Astyanax mexicanus: one gene and its partners. The protein of the gene in region 1 purifies or fractionates together with the protein of each later gene. This does not show direct contact. Links are inferred from orthologs where the notes say so. Each region holds a gene or a part of one and is shown on either strand. Other genes may lie near its edges.

The links. Proteins that work in one complex are often made in the same cells at the same time.
Region 2: the proteins of cul2 (region 1) and cops8 purify together in Homo sapiens (affinity purification with mass spectrometry; 4 studies listed by BioGRID and IntAct, counting the BioPlex papers as one, with this or other methods). This does not show direct contact. The link is inferred for Astyanax mexicanus from reciprocal best matches to the Homo sapiens genes CUL2 and COPS8.
Region 3: the proteins of cul2 (region 1) and cand1 purify together in Homo sapiens (affinity purification with western blotting; 7 studies listed by BioGRID and IntAct, with this or other methods). This does not show direct contact. The link is inferred for Astyanax mexicanus from reciprocal best matches to the Homo sapiens genes CUL2 and CAND1.

What each region holds. Positions count from the first base shown.
Region 1 is NC_064413.1:45,837,245-45,844,264, forward strand, and holds the start of cul2 (cullin-2), read right to left. Parts: upstream 3,028-7,020; 5' UTR 2,831-3,027; intron 2,355-2,830; exon of another isoform or gene 2,202-2,354; intron 1-2,201. Other genes in the region: rmdn1 (regulator of microtubule dynamics protein 1), read left to right, coding at 5,336-5,446.
Region 2 is NC_064418.1:23,877,691-23,884,531, reverse strand, and holds the start of cops8 (COP9 signalosome complex subunit 8), read left to right. Parts: upstream 1-3,841; 5' UTR 3,842-4,089; coding exon 4,090-4,164; intron 4,165-5,487; coding exon 5,488-5,558; intron 5,559-6,836; coding exon 6,837-6,841. UniProt on the Homo sapiens protein: Component of the COP9 signalosome complex (CSN), a complex involved in various cellular and developmental processes.
Region 3 is NC_064409.1:11,541,992-11,549,131, reverse strand, and holds the start of cand1 (cullin-associated NEDD8-dissociated protein 1), read right to left. Parts: upstream 3,001-7,140; 5' UTR 2,747-3,000; coding exon 2,679-2,746; intron 1-2,678. UniProt on the Homo sapiens protein: Key assembly factor of SCF (SKP1-CUL1-F-box protein) E3 ubiquitin ligase complexes that promotes the exchange of the substrate-recognition F-box subunit in SCF complexes, thereby playing a key role in the cellular repertoire of SCF complexes.

The sequences.
Region 1 (7,020 bases):
TTTTATTTTATATAAATCTATGGCATGATAATCACTAGCAAGGTTTAAAACTGTGTTTTAAAAAAGTGCACACTCCACTTGTCCGTAGTACGCACTTTACTTGCAGTGCTGTGCAGTGCATAGCCTAATAATTTTTTGTTTGTTTGTTTGTTTGTTTTTGCACATAGACTATAAGCTCAATATAAAAATATTTTGTTAAGATTTATTTTCTTATCTTAAAACATGTTAAATTATATTAGATTAGAATAAAGTCACTCAGAATTAATTCTTGTAGCCTAATTTTGGGCCTGACCTAAGCTCTACCAGATTATCCCAAAAGTATTGAATGGAGCTCCCTCAGTACAGAAAACTCCTCTACAGCCCAGTGAGGATGGCTTTAGAACCGAGGCTTAGCACTGGGGCATAGCGACTCTAGGTTCATATAGGTACATATAAAACCAGCGCATCTACACTTATCAAACAATCAATAGATGACAGATTCACTAACTGAATCTGAATTTTACTTTTAAAGAGGCCAATTCATCATGCAGGGTTCTTGCTCTTTGTTAAAAGTCAAATTGAACGCTTTTTAAGACCTTTTTAGGACCTCAGTAAATATGTTATAAATATTATATTATAAATATTTAAGGCCCAAAAATGTAGTTATAACTTCTTAAGTAGAAAATAATTTATTGTGTTAAAAATTAAAATGTAACGTTTCCCATTTATGATCAATTTTCTTCATCAATTTTGTTCCACTGTGATGCAGAACCTGTTAGCATGTTACTAAGCTCTCCGCTAATGTTAGTGCTTTCCCACTGGCATTAAACGCACCATCTAAAAATGTAATACCTACAGTAAATTTACAGAAATGTTAAGACAATTTAAGAACTAAATTATGCATATTTTAAGGACCTGCGGGAACCCTGTCATGAAATTTGTACACACTAGAATTATTAAATGCAAGGGTCAAATAATGTAAAAAATGTAGAAAAGAATATACAAGTAACAGTGTTTCATTTCTATATAGTATATAAATACACACTTGACTAGTGTTTTTTATCAGAAGTGCAGCAATTAAGCCCTTGCAGAAGAATGCAGATACATTTGTGATAAAATAAATAAATTAAAAGAACACTGCATCATTACCATGCTATTAGCAGTGCTCTGTAGGTGACTGCAAAAGAGCAGTAAAACTCAGTAAACTTACTGCAGGACATTTAGGGCAACATATCTCCTCAAAGGGAGTCAAGACATTTAAGTCTAATTTGGGAAGCCTCTACCAGTTCTGAAAAACTTCAGAACCATGACAACTTTACAACTTTCAATGGAAGTCAATGTAAACACTCTTTATTCCAAGTAGGGAAGCCCCATATATTCACCAACCAAAATCATTCAGCTAAAAAGGCAAAAAGGCACTTTCATTGTTTAGCTGGCTCATTTAAAAAGTTTAGTGTTGAATATATATTTTTTTGTTTTCATAAAAAAAAAACAGGACAATGCATTTTAAAATGCTATTTAAAATATATGAGTACTTTTTTGTCAAAAATTTTAAATGGCTGGTCAAAGATATTTTTAGGATTACAGCTATAGTACATGACATATCACATTTTGGTTTTAAGTAACTTATTGACTTATTTAACCTAGTTAGTTAGCTAAATCTAGCTAACTAGTAAACCTGTAACACAAAATAGCTAGTGTAATGGTATAAATATAACTAACCTACACACCTTTAAATGTTTAAAACCACAACATTTTGGGGAAAATTTGAAATTTGCAGATTGTAAAGCCTCACAGTCCTACAGTAAAACTACAGAGCAAACTTTAGAGCACCATCATGTCTTACAGCTAGGGCTAGGCATCTTCAAAAGCATTTCTATCGGTCTGTTTATTAGTGAAACTCGACACAACGTAGAAAACTGTCAGATTAACATTGTCATAAAGTGAAAAATGGTAGATAAAAGATGTTTTTAAGATTACAGCTAAGGTTACAATATATGAAATATCTGTTATCACATTTTGGGCTTAAGTATTGACTTATTTAACCTAGCTAAATAGTTAACTAAATCTAGCTAGGATAACGTTAAGCCAACCAGTAACTTTTAAGCCAATATAACTTGTGCAATAGTATAAGTTAAATATAATTAAGCTAGTTACACACCAAGTATTAAAAGCACAACATTTCAGGGTAAAATTGATTTGAGCAGATTTTGAAGTCTTACAGTCTTACAGTAGAACTACAGAGCAAACTTCAGACCACCACCATGTCTTACAGCTAGGGCTAAGTAAGTAGCCAGCCAGCCAGCAGATTGATGAACTCCATTTGTGGCTATATTAAGGAAGGCTCGTTATACAGTTAGTTAACGCTGGTTATATGAGTTTTCTGTGAAGCTTTATAAGCCGACAGTTGGGTAATTACCCGGATTTACCCGTTGGGATTTAAACCCGTTTACTTATAAAAACACAGTCACGAGCCTAACAGTACGGAGGCCTAGCTAGTTAGCCGGATAGCCGCTTCAGCTAGTCTGACATTTCAGTGATTTCGGTTTTGTTTAGGGAGCTGGAGCTGGAGTTTAGTGGAGGTAAAGACTGAGACAGGCCCAAAACAAGGAAGCTACTCCCCAAGTAAAGTTACTGGACCGTCCTTTTAGTCAGAGCGCTGAAATCCGAACTCTAACCGAACCGAAACAGCAGCTAGTCGGCTAAACCCGAGCGAGCCTCCGATCCAGAGAGGAGCTCCAGCCCGCAGCTCCTCCTCCCGCAGCCCCGACACCCGGCCCCGGCTCGCCCGCGCCCTAAACACGCGGATAAAGGCGCGGTTCTGGGTGTGTAGCTGAGTGTCGGTGGTTACCTCGGGGTTCAGGGTCAGTGCGCTCGGTTTCAGTGAAGTTCCCCCGCTGTCAGAAAGCCCGATTCTCTCTCTCAGACCTGCTCCATCGCAGCAGCAGCAGCAGAGGAGGACAGCACAACTCCATCAGCTGGAGGGATGTCAGACTCCACACACACTGCGGAACTGGGAAAAAGCTGTAAAACACACACCAGGAACCTGTAATAATTTTAAGTTAACTACAAAGCTGATGTACAGAGTGTTAAATATCCCTTCTGTGTAAGAACAGACAGATTTAACAATATTTCGCTATTAAAACTCCCCCATTTCGAGTTGGTTTTGTCCAAAACTACGGAATCCAGCTCAGGACAGTTCACCTTCGCGCACACCGCTCTGCTCCGAGGCCGACCTGAGGTGCATGACGTCAATCATCAAAAAACTGAGAAGAAATGAGCAAATACAGGTGCATCTCAAAAAAATAGAATATTGTTGAAAAGTTACTTTATTTCAGTAATTCAGTTCAAAATGTGTGTTTATTTCTTTATGGTTGATGATTATGGTTTACCCAATTGGTACTTACCCACTTGTGGGCAGTGTGCCAAGTCCTGCTGGAAAATGAAATGTTGTCAGCAGAGGGAAGCATGAAGTGCTGTAGAATTTTCCAGGAAAACACTGCACTGACTTTTGACTTGATATAACACAGTGGACCAACACCAGCAGATTGAGACATGACTTTCCAAATCATCACTGATTGTGGAAACTTCACACTAGACCTCAAGCAGCTTAGACTGTGTGCCTCTCCACTATTCCAGACTTTGCTCCCTTGATTTCCAAATGAAATGCTAAATTTACTGATGATCAGTGATGGTTGGAAGGACTTCACTGTCATACCCACTGTTAATTCCCCCTGAACATTTAAGAACTGTGTGCACTTATTCCCTTTGTCAGCCTTAAGCAATTATACCACTATATTTGCACTACTGTTATACGGGTTCTGTTTATACTTGTACTGTCATTTCCTCTTTAATCTCCCCCTCACGACTATTGCACTATTGTCTTGTGTCTTTTTGCCTCTGTGTCCTTGTTGTATTGTACATATAGAGTCTCCCATTATTTTATATTTATAATCTTATTTTCTGAACTTTCTGTAACTTTTGGGAAGGAGAGTAACGTAATTTCAATTCTTTGTATGTCCTCTACATATGCAGTATTGACAATAAAACTACTTGACTTGATTTGCTTCCCTCTACTGACAATTATGGAAATGCAGATTTTATATTCTAGCAGGGCTTGGCACACTGCCTACACTGCCAAAAGTACCAATTGGTCTTATATAATATTTTAATTTTCTGAGACACTGATTTTTGGATTTTTATTGGCTGTAAGCCATAATCATTATCATCAATAATAAAATATCACTCTGTGTGTACAATTTAATTGGAATGCTCTTATTGAAAATATTCACTGAGGTAAAGGATGATGGAATCCTTTTATATAAGGTGTATAAAACAAAGTAAAAGAAATACACTTAAATATCCCCCATGCAATTCTCTAATAAATATATAATAAGATATAAACAATATTTTACATTTTGAGGTAACTGTGATAAAAACCTGGCTTATCTTTTTTTTATTGTAATACGGTCTTTAACTTTTAGAAAAAATTACCATTTGTTTCTCCTATGCGAATGCAAATATTTCTTTTTTTTTTTTACTTCAAAACACAAGTTGTTACATTGAATTAAAAAAAACAAACAAATCTCTTGAAACTGCTGTTAATTGTTTATTCTTTCGGCACAGAATTAAATGTGCCGAAAAAGTCTAAAGAATATACCCACATTTATTATTTTTGGAATATCAGAATATATAATAATTAGTAGAATATTTCATAAAAAGCCTTAGAATTGTTAAAAAAAAATATATGGTAACATATATGTATGTGTGTGAGAGAGAGAGGTGATCCCCATTGTCTACACTCTATATCTGACAGTTTACAGGCTCTGAAACACACACAGCTCCAGATTAAATGTAATATATTAATAATACACAGAATAAAGGTGTGAATTTCTCTCAGAGCGGAGAGAAACCGAGCACTTCTTCCGCATCATTATGCGTGTCGTCAGCGGATATTACGAACCGACAGACCAAAACAAATGTTGTGGGTTGCCAGGTGTAGATAAACCCCCGAGCTACACTCCAGGTTTTAACACAAATTACATTAGCTTAAAACGCAATTTAAACTTGTTATGTGCATACATACATACACAGTACCAGTAAAACGTTTGACCACCTCTTCTTATTCAATGTTTTTCTCTATATCCACTATTAAAATCTTTAATAATCTTCTTAATCCTTAAGAAAAAGAAAGTATTAGAGAAGAGGGTTTGTAGAGGATCTGGCAGCCCCGGCTCTGACGCTGTGTGGTATACAGCGCTCGGGTTACACGGCGCTTCGCCCGCTCTCAGGTTCACTTCCATTCAGCCCGTCTGATAGTGGAGGTCGCTGAGCTGGGGGTCAGTGGAGCTGCAGAATGGCCTCTGTAGCTGCGGTCCGGGCGGGTTTCAGAGCCGCGGGGAGGGAGCTGAAGAGCCGGGTCAGCGGGCAGCAGCAGCTCGGGCCCTTCCGGAGGATCTCAACTCGTGTAACTAAGAATTTATCTTGATCTTAAACCTCTCTGATCTTACAGCTGTTCACCTGTGATTCTCTTATGATATTACCTGTGATTTGTCTCTTAAATTACCTGTGACACTAACTGATATCATAGCTGTTTACCTGTAATTTGTCTCAGTTATTACCTGTGATACTCCTCTAATATTTCCATTTGATTCTCCTCTGATAGCATAGCTATTCACCTGTGTTACTCCCCTGATATCATACCTGTTTACCTGTGAAACTCCTGATATTAACTGCGATACTCCTCTAAAACCATAGTTGCTTAACTGTGATTTTCCTCTGATATCATAGTTGTTCACCTGTAATACTCCTCTTATATCATATAGCTGTTCACCTGTGTTACCACTTTGATATTAGAGCTGTTTACCTGATAACATAGCTGTTTACCTTTGATACTCCTCTAAACCATATCTGTTTACCTGTGATTTTACACTGATATCATAGCTGTTTACCTGTGATTCTCATCTGATATTATGTCTGATGCTCCTCTGATACTCTGATATTACCTGTGATACTCCTCCTCTATCATAGCTGTTCACCTGTGATACTTATCTGATATCATAGCGGTTCACCTGTGATACTCCTCTGATATCTTAGCGGTTCACCTCTAGTACACCTCTGATATCATAGCTGTTTACCTGTGATTCTCATCTGATATTATGTCTGATGCTCCTCTGATACTCTGATATTACCTGTGATACTCCTCCTCTATCATAGTGGTTCACCTGTGATACTTCTCTATCATAGCTGTTCAACTGTGATACTCCTCTGATATCATAGCTGTTCACCTGTTATACTCCTCTGATATCATAGCTGTTCACCTGTTATACTCCTCTGATATCATAGCTGTTCACCTGTTATACTCCTCTGATATCATAGCTGTTCACCTGTGATACTTATCTGATATCATAGCGGTTCACCTGTGATACTCCTCTGATATCATAGCTGTTCACCTGTGGTACTTCTTCTCTATCATAGCTGTTCACCTGTGATACTTCTCTGATATCATAGCTGTTCACCTGTTATACTCCTCTGATATCATAGCTGTTTACCTGTGATACTCCTCTAAACCATAGCTGTTTACCTGTGATTTTACACTGATATCATAGCTGTTTACCTGTGATACTCCTCTGATATTATAGCTGTTTACCTGTGAGACTCCTATATTACATTTGATACTCCTCTGATATTATAGCTAGTGTTTTACTATGTGAAACAGTAGATTATTCTGAGCATGATCTTTCCAGCTGCAAACTAACTAGTTACAGGACTTGTTACAGAGTAGCTTCAGTGTTTTTCTGCGCACCTATAGTTATAAATGTACAGTGGACCAGTCAGCCCCCAGCAGCAGTGGGTTATATCTGCACTCTGAACTGCACTAGCTAGTAGATTAGTAGATCTAGGGGAAAGAGCACAGAGCCTCTGACAGGAGCATGATTTACCCAACACTGTAAAAAGTTGCTTAAAGTCCATATGCTAAAAGTGCAGGGTAAAACACTTTAAACACTTGCATTGTTGTACACTCTATTCACAGTGGATACG
Region 2 (6,841 bases), on another chromosome or scaffold:
GATTCCAGAAGCAAAAGTCTTTAACAGAAAAATCCAAAAAAAAATCCACAGAAAATTCACAAAAACACAAAAATAAAAGCAAAGACCAAACTGAAATAATACTGCAAAGGATAATAAAATAACCAATTATATTTAAAAATATATATTTGCTATATATTTTTTCTCTTTTGAATTTGTAACATACAATTTTTGCTTTTGATTCCTAACATTTTGATTGCGGATTTATTTTTTTTGTGTAAAACTTTTGGCACAAAATTCACTCCATAAAAGAACACTCTTCTCCTTCCATGGACAGTTATCAGTTTGCGTACCGGGCCAATAGATCTGTTGATGATACAGTCAACCTGGCCCTTCATAGGATTATGCAACATCTGGAATCCCCTAATACATATGCTCGGATATTGTTCATTGACTTTAGTTCGGCCTTTAATACTATTAATCCCATCAATCTTTTCAATAAACTTAGGGATATGGACATTGATATTGCTCTATGTTACTGGATCCACAATTTTTTGTCAAAAAGAACGCAGAGAGTCAGGATGGGTAACCTCTCTTCCCAAACTCTGACCCTTAGTACAGGAGCCCCCCAGGGCTGTGTTCTTTCACCGTGGTTATTCTCACTCTACACAAACACCCTCACATCTACCCACAGTTCAGTTTCTATTCTCAAATATGCAGATGACACAACAATAATTGGTCTTATCACCAACAATAACGAACATCACTATCGCGAACAGGTTGCCCAAGCAGTCACTTGGTGCCAAAATAACAATTTACAGCTTAACATATTAAAAACTCAGGAACTCATAGTTGATTTTTCTCGCACACCCATATACAAAATACCCATCTCTATTTTTTCGCAACCCATTATCATCACTGATTCATTCAAATTTCTGGGAACCCATATCAGCAACACACTTAAATGGAAACTACACTCACACCAACTCTACAAAAAAGCCAACAAAAGGCTATTCTTTCTCAGACAACTAAAAAAATTCAGAGTTAGGAAAAATATCCTTCTTCAGTTCTACACTGCCATCATTCAAAGCATACTCACCTCATCCATAACAGTGTGGTATGGGAATTTGGATACCCATTCACGCAAAAAACTGCAAAGTATAGTAGATAAATCATCAAAAATCACAGGGCACATCCTCCCATCCATTGACACTTTATATTACAGACGCATCACACAACGAGCAATAAAAATCACCTCAGACCCCTCCCATCCTGCATATCATCTATTTACACTTATGCCTTCTGGAAGACGTTACAGGTCACTGTCAACTAAATCTGTCAGATTTAAAAATAGTTTTTTCCCAACTGCTGTACGTTTACTAAACCAGGTTTAACTGTTTATGTATGTATTTGTCTATTCACTGTTATGTGTTGTTTGTTGTTTTGATACAGACATAGATGTGAGCATGTTATGTTATGCTGTACCGTAAGTAAATTCCACCAACTTGTTGTGTGGTCATTAATAATAAATGAAATAATAAATGAAATTGAGTACTTTTTACTTTTACTCAAGTAGATTTTTAGATGGGTACTTTTATTTTTACTTGAGTAGACTTTTAGCAAAGTAAAGATGTGTGTGTGTGTGTGTATTAATGTATTATTTAGTTTTTGTATAAGTATTGTTTAGTTTATATGTATAGTATTTATATATCTATAAACTACATAATACTATAGACCGTTTCAGAGGAATATTCATGAGTGCAGGAAGTGACGTAGCTGTTCCTAGGACACTTCCGTTTTGCGGTAAACAGCGTTCAAAACAGTGGATGTGATTTAATTTAAACCTTCCCTTAAAAACTGTTCCACAGCCACAAGAACTGCTGCAACATGACTGCAAACTTCCCCTAATCTGAGAGTCACAAACACTGAAAATCAGTTCATTACCAGCAGATTCTCAAATTGTTATTTAACAAGTAAACTATGGAGGACCAAAAATGACATAAGTATAAATAAATAAATGCACATATAAATGTATAAATAAATAAATAAATAAATAAATGCACATATAAATGAATAAATAAATAAATATATAAATAAATTAAAACATGCATAAATAATTGTATAGGTTAATAAATACATTAATAAATACATTTCTTATTCATATATTTATTTATTTATTCATTTATACGTGCACTTATTTAGTTCAACATTTATTTATTTATTTATTTATTTCAACATTTATTTATTTATTCATTCATTTATTATAACATTTCTACATTTATTTATTGATTTATTTCCACATTTCCACATATTTATTCATTTATTTATTTACCTATACAATTATTTATATGTGTATTTATTTATTTATTCATTTATATGTGCCTTTATTAATATATTTATTTATTTTAACATTTATATATTTATGCATTTATTTATTTATACTTTTTGGTCCTCCATAGTAGACACGCGTGCTTTCGCTTTTCTCACAATGTCTCCCTCCTTCTTATACAAATCATGCAGAGTACGTGTTGGATAGCGTTTGACTTGCTACAACCTCAAAATACACTATAGTGATGCTTCTCTCCTATAGGAACAAATATTCCCAACTTTTCCACTGAGAAAGTAATTATATCCGTCCAAACTGTGGTACGCTTTCACTGCCTGTCTGGTGTAAACACGCCCTGTTTCAAGGAGATAGTGATCACATCTGGGTAGTTCACCTCTGGCAAGCGTTTTAAATCAGAGGAAAAAACTTTCCTCTTAAATCCTTATCAAAAAGATCAGGAAAAGAGGTTTGATCACTTTTTATTAATTTCTGACCTGTTTGCTTTGTGTTCGGGAGACTTGCGAAATATGCGCTCTCATTTTGACAGCTGTATACTTGAAAATAGCGCCACCGGAAGCGTCAAAGGAACAGACATGCGCAGTAGCTTTGTTATTGTTTTCCCCATTGAACTGTCTATATATATATATATATAAATTAAATAATACATTATTCTAAGTCATTCTTTTTTTTTCCAACTTCATTTCAAATGCCCTCTATTTGTTTATGTTCAGTTCTACTCGTTCACATTTAAAATGTTTAAGTAATTGCACAGATAATTAACCTGGACTTAATTAATTTGGTATTTTGTGGTCTGAAGCAAAACGAAAATCAAAATCTCTGGCTCATTTCTCAGCTCTGAGTTTAGTTGTGGCGGGTAGAATCTCAAACAGGAAACAGGAAAAACTCCGTAGGATAGACTGTCCCATTTCAGTAGAGCCGCTGCAGCCTACCCATCCTTCAAAGGACACACCTTCGTAGACCGCGTCCTTCGAAGGATGCAGCCTCTGAATTGAGACACAGCTTATGACTGCTCATTACCCGAAGCCTCACTGAATACTGCTCACTAGTGACTCCTGCTGTATAAAGGGTTATACAACAGCATGAATGAATCCTGACCCACAGTATCCTGGAATGTCTGTGTATAAAATAAACGAATTATTCTACTCTGTTTTAATGAATATTAAAATGTCTGTTCATTTAAATATTATTAATTAAGTGTTGGTAAACACAAAGCTTACTGACACTGATGGCGAGAGTGCTTAGAACTGGGAGTAAAGGACACTAAACTGTAACAGAGCAGTAGGAGAAAACAGTTTTTAACTGTATTGTTGTTGCTGAGGCGATTTCCTATATTTGCTGACTGTTTGCAGCAGCTGTGATTGGCTGGCAGTGTTAGGGCGCTGAAAACCAGCATTGTGATTGGCTCAGTGGATCAGTTGTCGCCATCCTATTAAAAGGGCTCAGCTTTCCCATTCCCCCAATTACTTTCCTTCTCTCCACTCCTCCTCCTCATTTCCTCCACCTTCTTCTGGCGTTGGAGAAGAGGAGCAGGAAAGGACGCAGCCAGGATCCGACTCGGGACTCCTCGCTTCGATTGTCATCACTACCTGCAGCCCGGCGCTGTAATACTGCAGGCGGCCTGCAGGGGCGGTGCTGCCAGGAGCGTGTAAGAAAGCCGAGCGGTGAAGAAGAAGCCAGTGCACTGTAAGCTCCGGCTAACCGGAGCTAACCGAGGTTAAGAGTGGGTAACAGCGGCGGGGAACGGAGGGTAAGGGGAGCTGCTGGGTCCTGAACGGAGAGCGAGCATGCCGGTGGCGGTGGTGGTGATGGGGGAGAGCTGTGAGAAGCTGCTGGATCAGTGCGAGGCGCAGGAGCTGGAGGTGAGGAAGAGAGAGAGAGTGTGGGGAGCTCGGACTGAGGATTACTGTAGATTAGTTTAGTTTAGCGTTGTTTATTTAGTGAAGTAGGTTAGCTAGTTTAGTAATGAAGTGGTGAACTGGTGAGTGAGCGCTGGCGGAGCGGCCGGGGTCTTTATTATAACAGTTCCGCGGTTTATGTGCGGGATCACTGAAAACAGAGGTTGTTTATCTGAACATAAGAAGAATCCAGATCCAGAAAATCCGCGCCGTAGCTGTGCTGCGGCCGCAGGTCTGATTCTGTGTATCTCCGAGATGCTGCGGAGCTGCTCAGGCAGTGGGAGCGAAACCCTGGCGCGGATCATTCCTATCTGGACGTGGACTCTGCATCTACTGAACCCCCCCGCTTACTGCAGCTCTAATATCTACAATTGAATTGAATTGATACCAAACAGCCTCTAAAAACATTAATCACTCAGTGTTTTACCCCTTAATGTTGATGATGGAAAAACAACCTTTAAACAGCATCGGTTAGAGTTAAACTCTGACATTGAATCAATGATTATTTAAATGCCTTGAATGTTTAACACTCACAATAATGCTTATAGGAGAAAGCTGCTTCCCTCTAATAACATTAATAACAATAATATTAATTATAATAGTGGTGTTGGTGGTAGTAGTAGTAGTAGTAGTAGTAGTTAGAATAGTAACAATATCAATTATAAAATTAGGAGAATTATTATTATTATTATTATTATTATTATTATTATTATTATTATTATTATTATTATTATTCCTTTCTGGCAAGAACAAAGTACAGTCTAAAAGAATACAATACAAACAAGATATACATATTTATTGTTAGAGAATACAAACAACACAAATCCATAACACTGAATCAGCGTTGATTTATATTTGCAGTCTTATAATTTAGCAGAATTGTAATTTACGAGTGAATGGACTCTGTGTCTGGACTCGGCAGGTGTTTAGTGAAATGTTGTAGTCTTGATGAGCTGACCAGTATTCTCCCTTTTATATACCATAACATAGTTCTTACTAGTAATATTATCACATCTGCAGATCTGTAAATCAGTTCTGACTTGTCACAAGACCCACACCACGCATCTCTAATGTATTTCTTTGTAGTCACATGATTCACACATCCCAAATGTAATTCTGTGTAGTCACATGACCCACCTGAATCAGTTGTTCATGCAGCTACTAATCTTAAACTGCCTCTCGCAATAATACGCTTGGGTCTCTGCTGGAGTTTTGATGTGATTAATCAATCTTAGTAACTCTCTTTAATGCTCTGTTCTCATTGTCTGCTGTTTGCTGTGATTGCAGGCTCCAGGTGGCATCGCTACTCCACAGGTGTATTCTCAGTTACTGGCTCTGTATCTTCTCCACAATGACATGTAAGTTTTCGCACATCCTCCATTTTAGGAATGTGCTTAATTATAGACAGTAATGTCACAAACATTTTTGGCACAAAACAAAAGCTATATGACAATAGTGATCAGCAGTATTGTGTAGTGCTGGGTGATATGACAAAAAAAAAAGATTTTGATGGCTGCACAGTATATTGCATTTTTTTTTATTTACTCTTCTTACTTTATATATATCTTTGTACTGGGCTTTTATTTAGGTTTGTGACTATTTGTGACTTATTCCAGGAATATGTAGAATATAAAACATTAAGGGCGATATTGTACACCCTGTGCAAGGCACGTCGCAATGCTTGTTTCTGTCTTATACCCTGTCAACAGTTTATTTCTGTGCTGATTACAGTACTCTCAATCCAGTCCAGTGAAAGTGTGTTCAGAAAGCATTTAAAGATAAACGGGGAAGAGAATGCAATATGTGGAAGCGCCACGTTACAAAATAAACCAATCACATGACCCGCATGCGAACCCAGGCATGGTGAGCTTCCATACCCGAGTCCACTTAAAATGAACCTTAGACCACTGATTTCAGGAGGCCCAGGGCTTAAAAGCAACTTACACACTTAACTAAACATACCAGACCAGCGGAGAAAGTGCAAAATAAAGATGCAGAGCCTCTTCAAGCTGTTTACTATCAGATTGTTTTTTTAATGCTAATGCTAGCTAGCGTACTGTTCCTCTGGTCTTTGGCTGTGCTGTTCCACACAGTTCCCTTCAGCACTTTGAGTGGAGAACAGTATTATATAATTTGCTGCCTGTTGAACCATTACAGCTGTCTTTTCAGCTATGCTACAATATTTCGGAACATGAAAAATGCACACCGGATGTGAAAATAGAATCAGTATACCCAGCCCTACTATTTTCTGTATTAGCTTTTAATTGTTTACGTTTGCAGTTTATATGCAGCACTATGTGGCACTTTAGTTTTGCGATAGATATTTGTCACAATACTTTATCTTTGTTACATTTTACTGTTATTATTCTATACAGAATCAGAATTTACTGTTTATTAAATAGTCAAAATTAGATTACAGTATGTTTTGTGTCACCTGAATATATTAAACTGTTATACTAAATAAAGCTTTGCAGTTATATGTTCTTGAAATTAATTTAAAAAATAAATCTCTTTGTCACATAACATGGTGATTATTTTTTGGCCATATCTGACCACGATCTAATTCCTTTATGGTAATTCCTTATCAATTGATCACTTAAATTAGGTAACAATTTATATGTTCTGTGTTTTTGCAGGAACA
Region 3 (7,140 bases), on another chromosome or scaffold:
GGAAATTCTATTCCTCTAAATCAATACACACAAGCACTAAAAATATATTTAATATACTGTAGAAAAGAGTACAGTTTTTAATACTAAAGACACTGCACAAAATGTACAAATCAAACTCCCTCTTAGACTTCCCTCTTTCTGAGGTAATCACTTCATCTTTATCTAAAAATAAAGACAAATCAAGTGCACATGAGCATATGAGGGACAACATATTTGATTAAGCATCTTTAAAACGTTGAATTCTCCAACAAACCGAAAATGGGAAAATGGAATGTTTGGCTCATCTGCTGGCACTTTCTTATTCTAAATTGCAACAGAGTGATGTCATGACCTTAAATCTCTGAAAAGTAAATTAACTGATTATCTTGCTGCAACGGCGAATGGGTGGGATACTGTATACTGTATTAGGTAGCAAGTGCGCAGTTGGTTCTTGAAAAAATGGGCAAGCGTAAGAATCTTAAACACTTTGACCAAGGGACAAATAGCGATGACTATATGAATGGGTCACAGCATCTCCAAAACAACTTGAATAATGAGCGATCCTGGCATGCTGTGGTTGCTACCTACCAAAAGTGATCAGACATAGCACAACAAACAGACTCAAGAATGTCCAACCTCTCAATCTACAGAATTGTTGCTAATATCTTCAAGTTAGATACATCAAAACAAGTTTTATGGAGCATACTCCAGGATGGGTTAAAACTGTTGCCTGCAACATATTGAGACACGAACACATCAAATCAAGACATTGGAGTATTGTATCTTGGTGAATTATGCAAACAACATTAGGAGATTGCAGCGTAAAAAGTTAGTGTGGTGTGGAAATAGCATTATCAGTGAGGAAAACTAACAATTTCACTCTTTGAAGCAATAGCTTGCAAACAACCAACCCTCAACTCCAAAACAACAAGAGCGTGCACCACAGTTCTCTCATCTCTATCCATAGTAAGTTAATAGTAAATTGTACCTCAATTTAACACTCATTTACAATGCTGCAATAAACAATGTCGTCATTATTAATTATTGTCAACATTGACAAACACAATAGGCGAAATCAGGATCATCATATATTATTATGGTGATGTCCAATTTTTTCAATAATGTACTTATTGTGACTAAATTTTGTAGATTTGTACTGAACTTACTTGACATTGGTTAAACGTGAAATATTTGATGGATAATATTTTTAATGTAGGTTTTAAACTTGAAGTGTTGAAATTTTATGTTATGAACACATTAAAACAAAAATGTCTGATCCATAAATTTAAACCTATCTGACTGAAAACTGTTTTTATAAGTTAAATGATGTGTTTTGTTTAATTTTCCTGAAAAGCCAGGATGTTTCAACTATGAAGGAAATGTTTTCAAAGCAAAAAGCATTGTTAGTTTTTATTACCAAAAACTTTTATACATGAAATAGATGGTTAGCGTTACTATTCTTAGACCGTTTTATTTAACGTTTTTAAACGTTCTGGTAACGTCGGTGAATTGGTGTTAACGTATTTTAATTTTTGTGTTAGCAATGCTACTTTTAACGCTTTGATAAATTTTAGCATTGGTCTAGATTGGAATGTTATGTGAGAAACGCTTATATTTTTACATTATTAGCTACTTCACACGTTTTCAGAAAGTCCCTTAAAATTATTTCTCTAACGTTACAGTATAATATTACTTTTTGCTCAAGTTTAGTAAATGTTAAGTAGATTTAATTTAGATTCGAGCAATTGTCAACTTATGTGAGCTGCATAGTTTTGCACCTGCAGCCACTTACTATAAAAACACAACGTGAGTCAACTTCCACTGGTTACAATAATAATGGCACCAGCATGCTAAACATCTAAATTACCTAGATAGCTAACTAACTAGTTAACATACATTGTTGCCCCACAGACTAAACTCCTGGTGATAACTTAATAACCTTAGTGTTGACAGAGAAAACACGACTATTCTATTAGCTAAATAGATTAGCCAACGAGTTAATGACAAGACAAGATGACAAGTCAACTTTGTGACAGGCCACACTAGCTAGCCAGCTTTGTTAAATTAGTCAGCTAACCTACATCTACATCTCATGTTAGTAGATTTGTTCAAAATATAACGTTGACTATCATCCAAACAACTGTTACTGTGCAATAAAACGGTGATTATCTGTTTCATAGTTAAGTTAGCAAGCCAGCGCAGCCTCCCTCCGCACCAGCCTGCTCTAGAAGAGCTCATAGCGCCCTAATGTTTGCTAATAGTGCTAGCTAACGTAACTGGCAAAATCAGCCGTTTAGCGCGCTAACCTGAGGAGCTAGCTTGCTTACATTGTTAGCGAGTTAGTTAGCAAGCTAGCTAGCTTACTGTTAGCACAAATCCCCACTTACAGCGAATTAACTCCATAAGGTTGATTTAAAAGCAAAAATAAGACGTTCCAACTGTCTTTAGCTATCTTATAACTTGTCGACTAACTGGCTGGTGCGCTAAACACAACAGCGGCGGATCTGCGGCCTAGCTAACTAGCAAGCTAAGCTAACCAAGCTAGGCTAGCTATCGTTAGCTTAGCCTACCCAGCTCCAAACTCAGTGCACGATCCCCATTTCAGAACGAAAACACGGCCCACACGCGCTGCAGCTCTAACAACCACACATATACCCGAACTTCACACCGCAGCGGCGGTATTCGGGAGCATGGCTCACCTGAAATCCTTATCGCTGGAAGTCATTTTTTCCAGGAGATTAGAGATGTGGTATGAGGCGCTCGCCATATTTGCAGTCAGTCAGTTGGAGCAGCTCGCTGGTAGCAACCACTTGTGAGTATCGCGGCCACAATCACTAGTTATCCTCCCCCTCCACTTTCTCGCGTAGCTGCAGCGCTGCGACACAAAGCCGGTTCTCCACGCTCTCTGCAGTCTCTGTGCGGCTCTAGCAGGGCGGCGGAGTTACACTTGCATCCCCCTGAGTTTGGAGGTTTGAATGGAGGTCCTGCTTCGCTCTGCAAGAGGGAGGAGCTGCGGCTCCAGACGGAGAGGGCAAAGTTGAGAGAGATCTCTGTGGGCGGGGCCTCGCCTTCACCGACAGCTAAACTGGCCAATCGCAACGCAGGAATAAAGATTACAGAGTTTGGAGAGGTTCAGCGACAACACAGCTAACAGTTTTATTTAGTATCATTTTTAGTTCTAATTTATTCCCATTTTCTCCCTAATTTACACGTCCAATTACCCAACAATTCCCTATCACTAGTGATGCCCCAACAACAGGGGGGTAAAGACTGGCACATGCCTCCTCTATTATATGTGAAGTTAGCATTACTGAGTAGCATCACAGCGCAGTGAGTCGGTTCAGATCATAGACTGTGTATAGCTGGACAGAACATCGTCTCTCAAAAGTGAAGCCACCACAGGTCGGGCGCCCCCTGCTGTTCGGCTGCAGAAAGCTGTATAACCCCACCCACCCCCATAGGTTTCAATGGCAAAACAGACAACTTTCAATCACGTTTTTTTCTAATATACTGTAATTCTTCCACCTTTATTTAAATGCAACAGCTGGTGTAACCTCTGCTTATATTGTCAATTTGTTTTATATTCCCACAGAATTCGTTTTTTAAAGCGTTATTCAGCTCTATTTAAAAAGGTGTGGTTATTGTAAAAAGGGCTGGGTTACACCTAGCTGGGGTGGGACCAATGACTGTATGGGCGGGACCAATAACAGACCGAACCTGCATCATGTTCTTTTTTCCCCTTACGTCAAGCAGTAGACTAGTACTAGTAGTTAGTCAAACGTTTAGCTAGCTAACTACCATTATTATTTTTTATTAGCTAAACTGAATTTAGATAGCTGTATTATTAATGTCGTGTTCTGCTGTTAATTGCTCTAACAGACATTCTGGACAAAGTTCTTTGCAGTTTTTTCGGTAAGTTTGCTGGCTGTTTTTCCCTCCACTCCTTTGTCTGTGTGCATTTTATTTTATTAGTTATCATCTTAGACGAACCATTTAATCTCGGTTGGATTTTATAGCTAGCTTAATTTGTTAGCTAACATTAGTGTAGTTATCTAACTAACTATATTCGCTAGACTCTGTAGAATTCATATTTTTACTTGGTCAGTGGCTTCGCCCGTCACCGGTGCGTGCGGCAAGCTGACCCAGATAGCATGAAGGCTCTGCCCGAGATCCGCTGATGTACGGCAGCACTGGTTTAGACTCTGCATAATCCGTGCAGAATTTAGCCAAATGTGCTCAGTTTGTCTCAGCAGCAAAATTAACTGAGCTTCAGTACGGGATTCGTCTCGTTGTTTAAAGCAATAACTAGTCCTGGCATTCACTGCCGTTTGGTGATGTTTTTTTTTTCGCTGTATTTTATTCACTTCCACTTGCTACATACAGAACTATCATGTGGTTATCATGTGGTTAATATCCATAACGTGCACGAACTGCACTGTTACTATGAAAATATTAACCTTATCGTGCTGCAGATAAGTTCTCCGCTCGGCTCGGTTTGTCAGACTGTGTGAGCTCTGTTGAGGCAGCCCTCAGGGGCGGGTTTATTTAAATGAGTAGGCTGTCTCTCCACAGTCTTTCTCCCTCCTCTGGTCTCTACTGCGCAGACTCTGGTCTCTGAATCGCCAAAATGGCGGAAGATTTTGGCTTCATTTTCATTGAATGAATGGGAACGGCGACACGGCGTCCATCTTTATATACAGTCTATGGTTCAGATAAATTAGCTCTCAGGTGGGTCCATCTACCCACCTCGAGAAAGAGCAAGACCAGTTGTCCTCTCTCAGGGCTCCAGTAGCCAATAGCAAGCTATATGAACAGGATTTCATGGTGGAATAACCCTTGTGTTTAATCACAGTTTTTATTAATCTTATTGTCCTCCACCAGTCTTGCACACTGCTTTTGGATAACTTTATGGCATTCCTGGTGCAAAAAGTCAAGCAGTTCAGCTTGGTTTGATGGCTTGTGATCATCTTTCTTCCTCTTGATTATATTCCAGAGGTTTTCAATTTGGTAAAATCAAATAAACTCATCTTTTTTTCGTTGTCTCTTGTTTTTTTTTCCAGAGCTGTAATAATTCAGCCAAAATCACTTGATATTCCCAACCCTAATAGAGATTGTGATAAATTACCTAGGTAGCTAAAGTTAGCTAACTTTAGCTAAAGCTTAGTGCTTACCATACAAATCTATTCATATGTGCATTAAATATTTAAAGCCTCTCTAAAGCTCACCTTGTTAGAGTCTAGTAAATGTTGGGTAAATTATTGTGTAATAATTCTAAAAAGGTAAGTTGGTGATGGAATTAAACACATCCACTGGGGCGTTGCTACCTTGATTTAATCCCCAAAACTAACTCACAAGCTCTCAACTACATTGTTATTTTTTATTGTATTCATTTTTGACTGCACAAGCTTCAACATTTTTACAAGCAAACCCATCTTTATTGCTGAGATAAAGGTTTTTAAATAATGTGCTTAGGTGTCTAAAACCTTTGCATAACATTTTATATGTGCAGTCATTCATTCCTCTTCTTATCTGCTTCCCTACGGTCAGGGTTGCACTAGGTTCTGGAGTCTACCTGGAATCCCTGGGCAAGAGGCAGGAATTTGCCCTGTAGCCTGCACCAGTCCATGGCTGGATACCGCACACCCAGCACACCCAGTACACCCAGTACCTCACACCCTCACAACTAGGGGCAATTTAGCATTGCCAATTCATTTTGCTATGCTAAACCCACAACCCCAGGCCTCTGGAGCTGTGCAGCACACACACACTACCTTTTGTGTCACCTTTTGTGCTTCTTCATTCACATTCAGTTTGTATGTTTTTAGGTTTACAATCTAAATGATTTAACTTAAAAATCACTTTAAATTCAACTTAAATTCACTGAATTAGTTTAAAGGAGCAATACATACTGTCATTTACCTAAGAAATGTGCAAGCTGAATTGAGGAAACAGGATAGATATTTGTTACAAATACTATTAGCAGGTAGTAAAAAAACAATAACTGTTAGTGGAGATTGCCGGTTTGAATCCTGTTTATGTAGCTTGCCATTGGCTACCAGAGCCCTGAGAAAGCACAATTGGCCTTGCTCTCTCTCTGGGTGGGTAGATGGCGCTCTCTTCCCACATCACTACAAAAGGGCTGATGTATCGGAACAGAGTCGCTGCGCTTTCCTCCGAGTGCGCTGTGATGCTACTCAGCAATGCTGCATCAGCAGCAGTTTGGAAAGAGGTGGTGGCTGACTTCAGATGTGTCGGAGGAGGCGTGTTCTTGTTTTCACCGTCCTAGTGTTGGGCTATCACTAGTGATGGGGGAGTCCTAATAGGAGGACTATTAGAGGAAAAAATGAGAAAAAAGACAGTTTGTGCCAAACCTCACAATGATTCATGATGATTTCTGTAGTAAGTTGTGTATCCAGGTCCCTAAAGTTGAACTAATCTGCGTTATTCTCAGTTTTATGACTTCATTGTAGACAGGAGGCCAAACATGATTGCGATAATGGGACACTTACGCAGTGGAAAGACACAGTTGTGTGCTACTCTAGTATTAGAGTGCTCTAATACAGACATGGCTGGAATAGCTGCTCTAAAAGCAGGACTTTTCAGACACATGCAGAAGCAAATGTACAAATAAATGCAGCCAAGTCCCAATCTCATTATGTTGAAGATATAAAAAGCCAATAATGTAAAAAAGGAAAAAAAGTGCAAATAGTGAAAAATAATCATGTTGGCATTTTGGTCATTTGTGGCAGCCAACTTTGTTTTCTGAAAAGCCATTTGATTACGCCCTCATCAATCCAGGGCCAATTTATTTGCACCGCAACAAGGAACCAATTTGCCATAAAATCTGTTATGATTTCTAAGAATACCCTCAACAGCTGTGTACTAAATTGCTCTTAGATGGACAGCAGGTGGCAAAGGCATAAAAATGAGATTGAGGGCTGAGTTTAATGTTGGGGTGGAAAAACACAACAAACAGTTTAGCACAGGGCATTTCCTACTTAACATCATCAAACTGATTCAATGACTCAAATTCATTTTATAGTGAAGGTCACTCGTGGTCTGAATGCAATGCAAGGTTTGTTGTAATTTCAGACATTATATACAATGTTCCAAACAAAGCAGGGTGTTATATAACTGATAAATGACAAATACATACTAAGA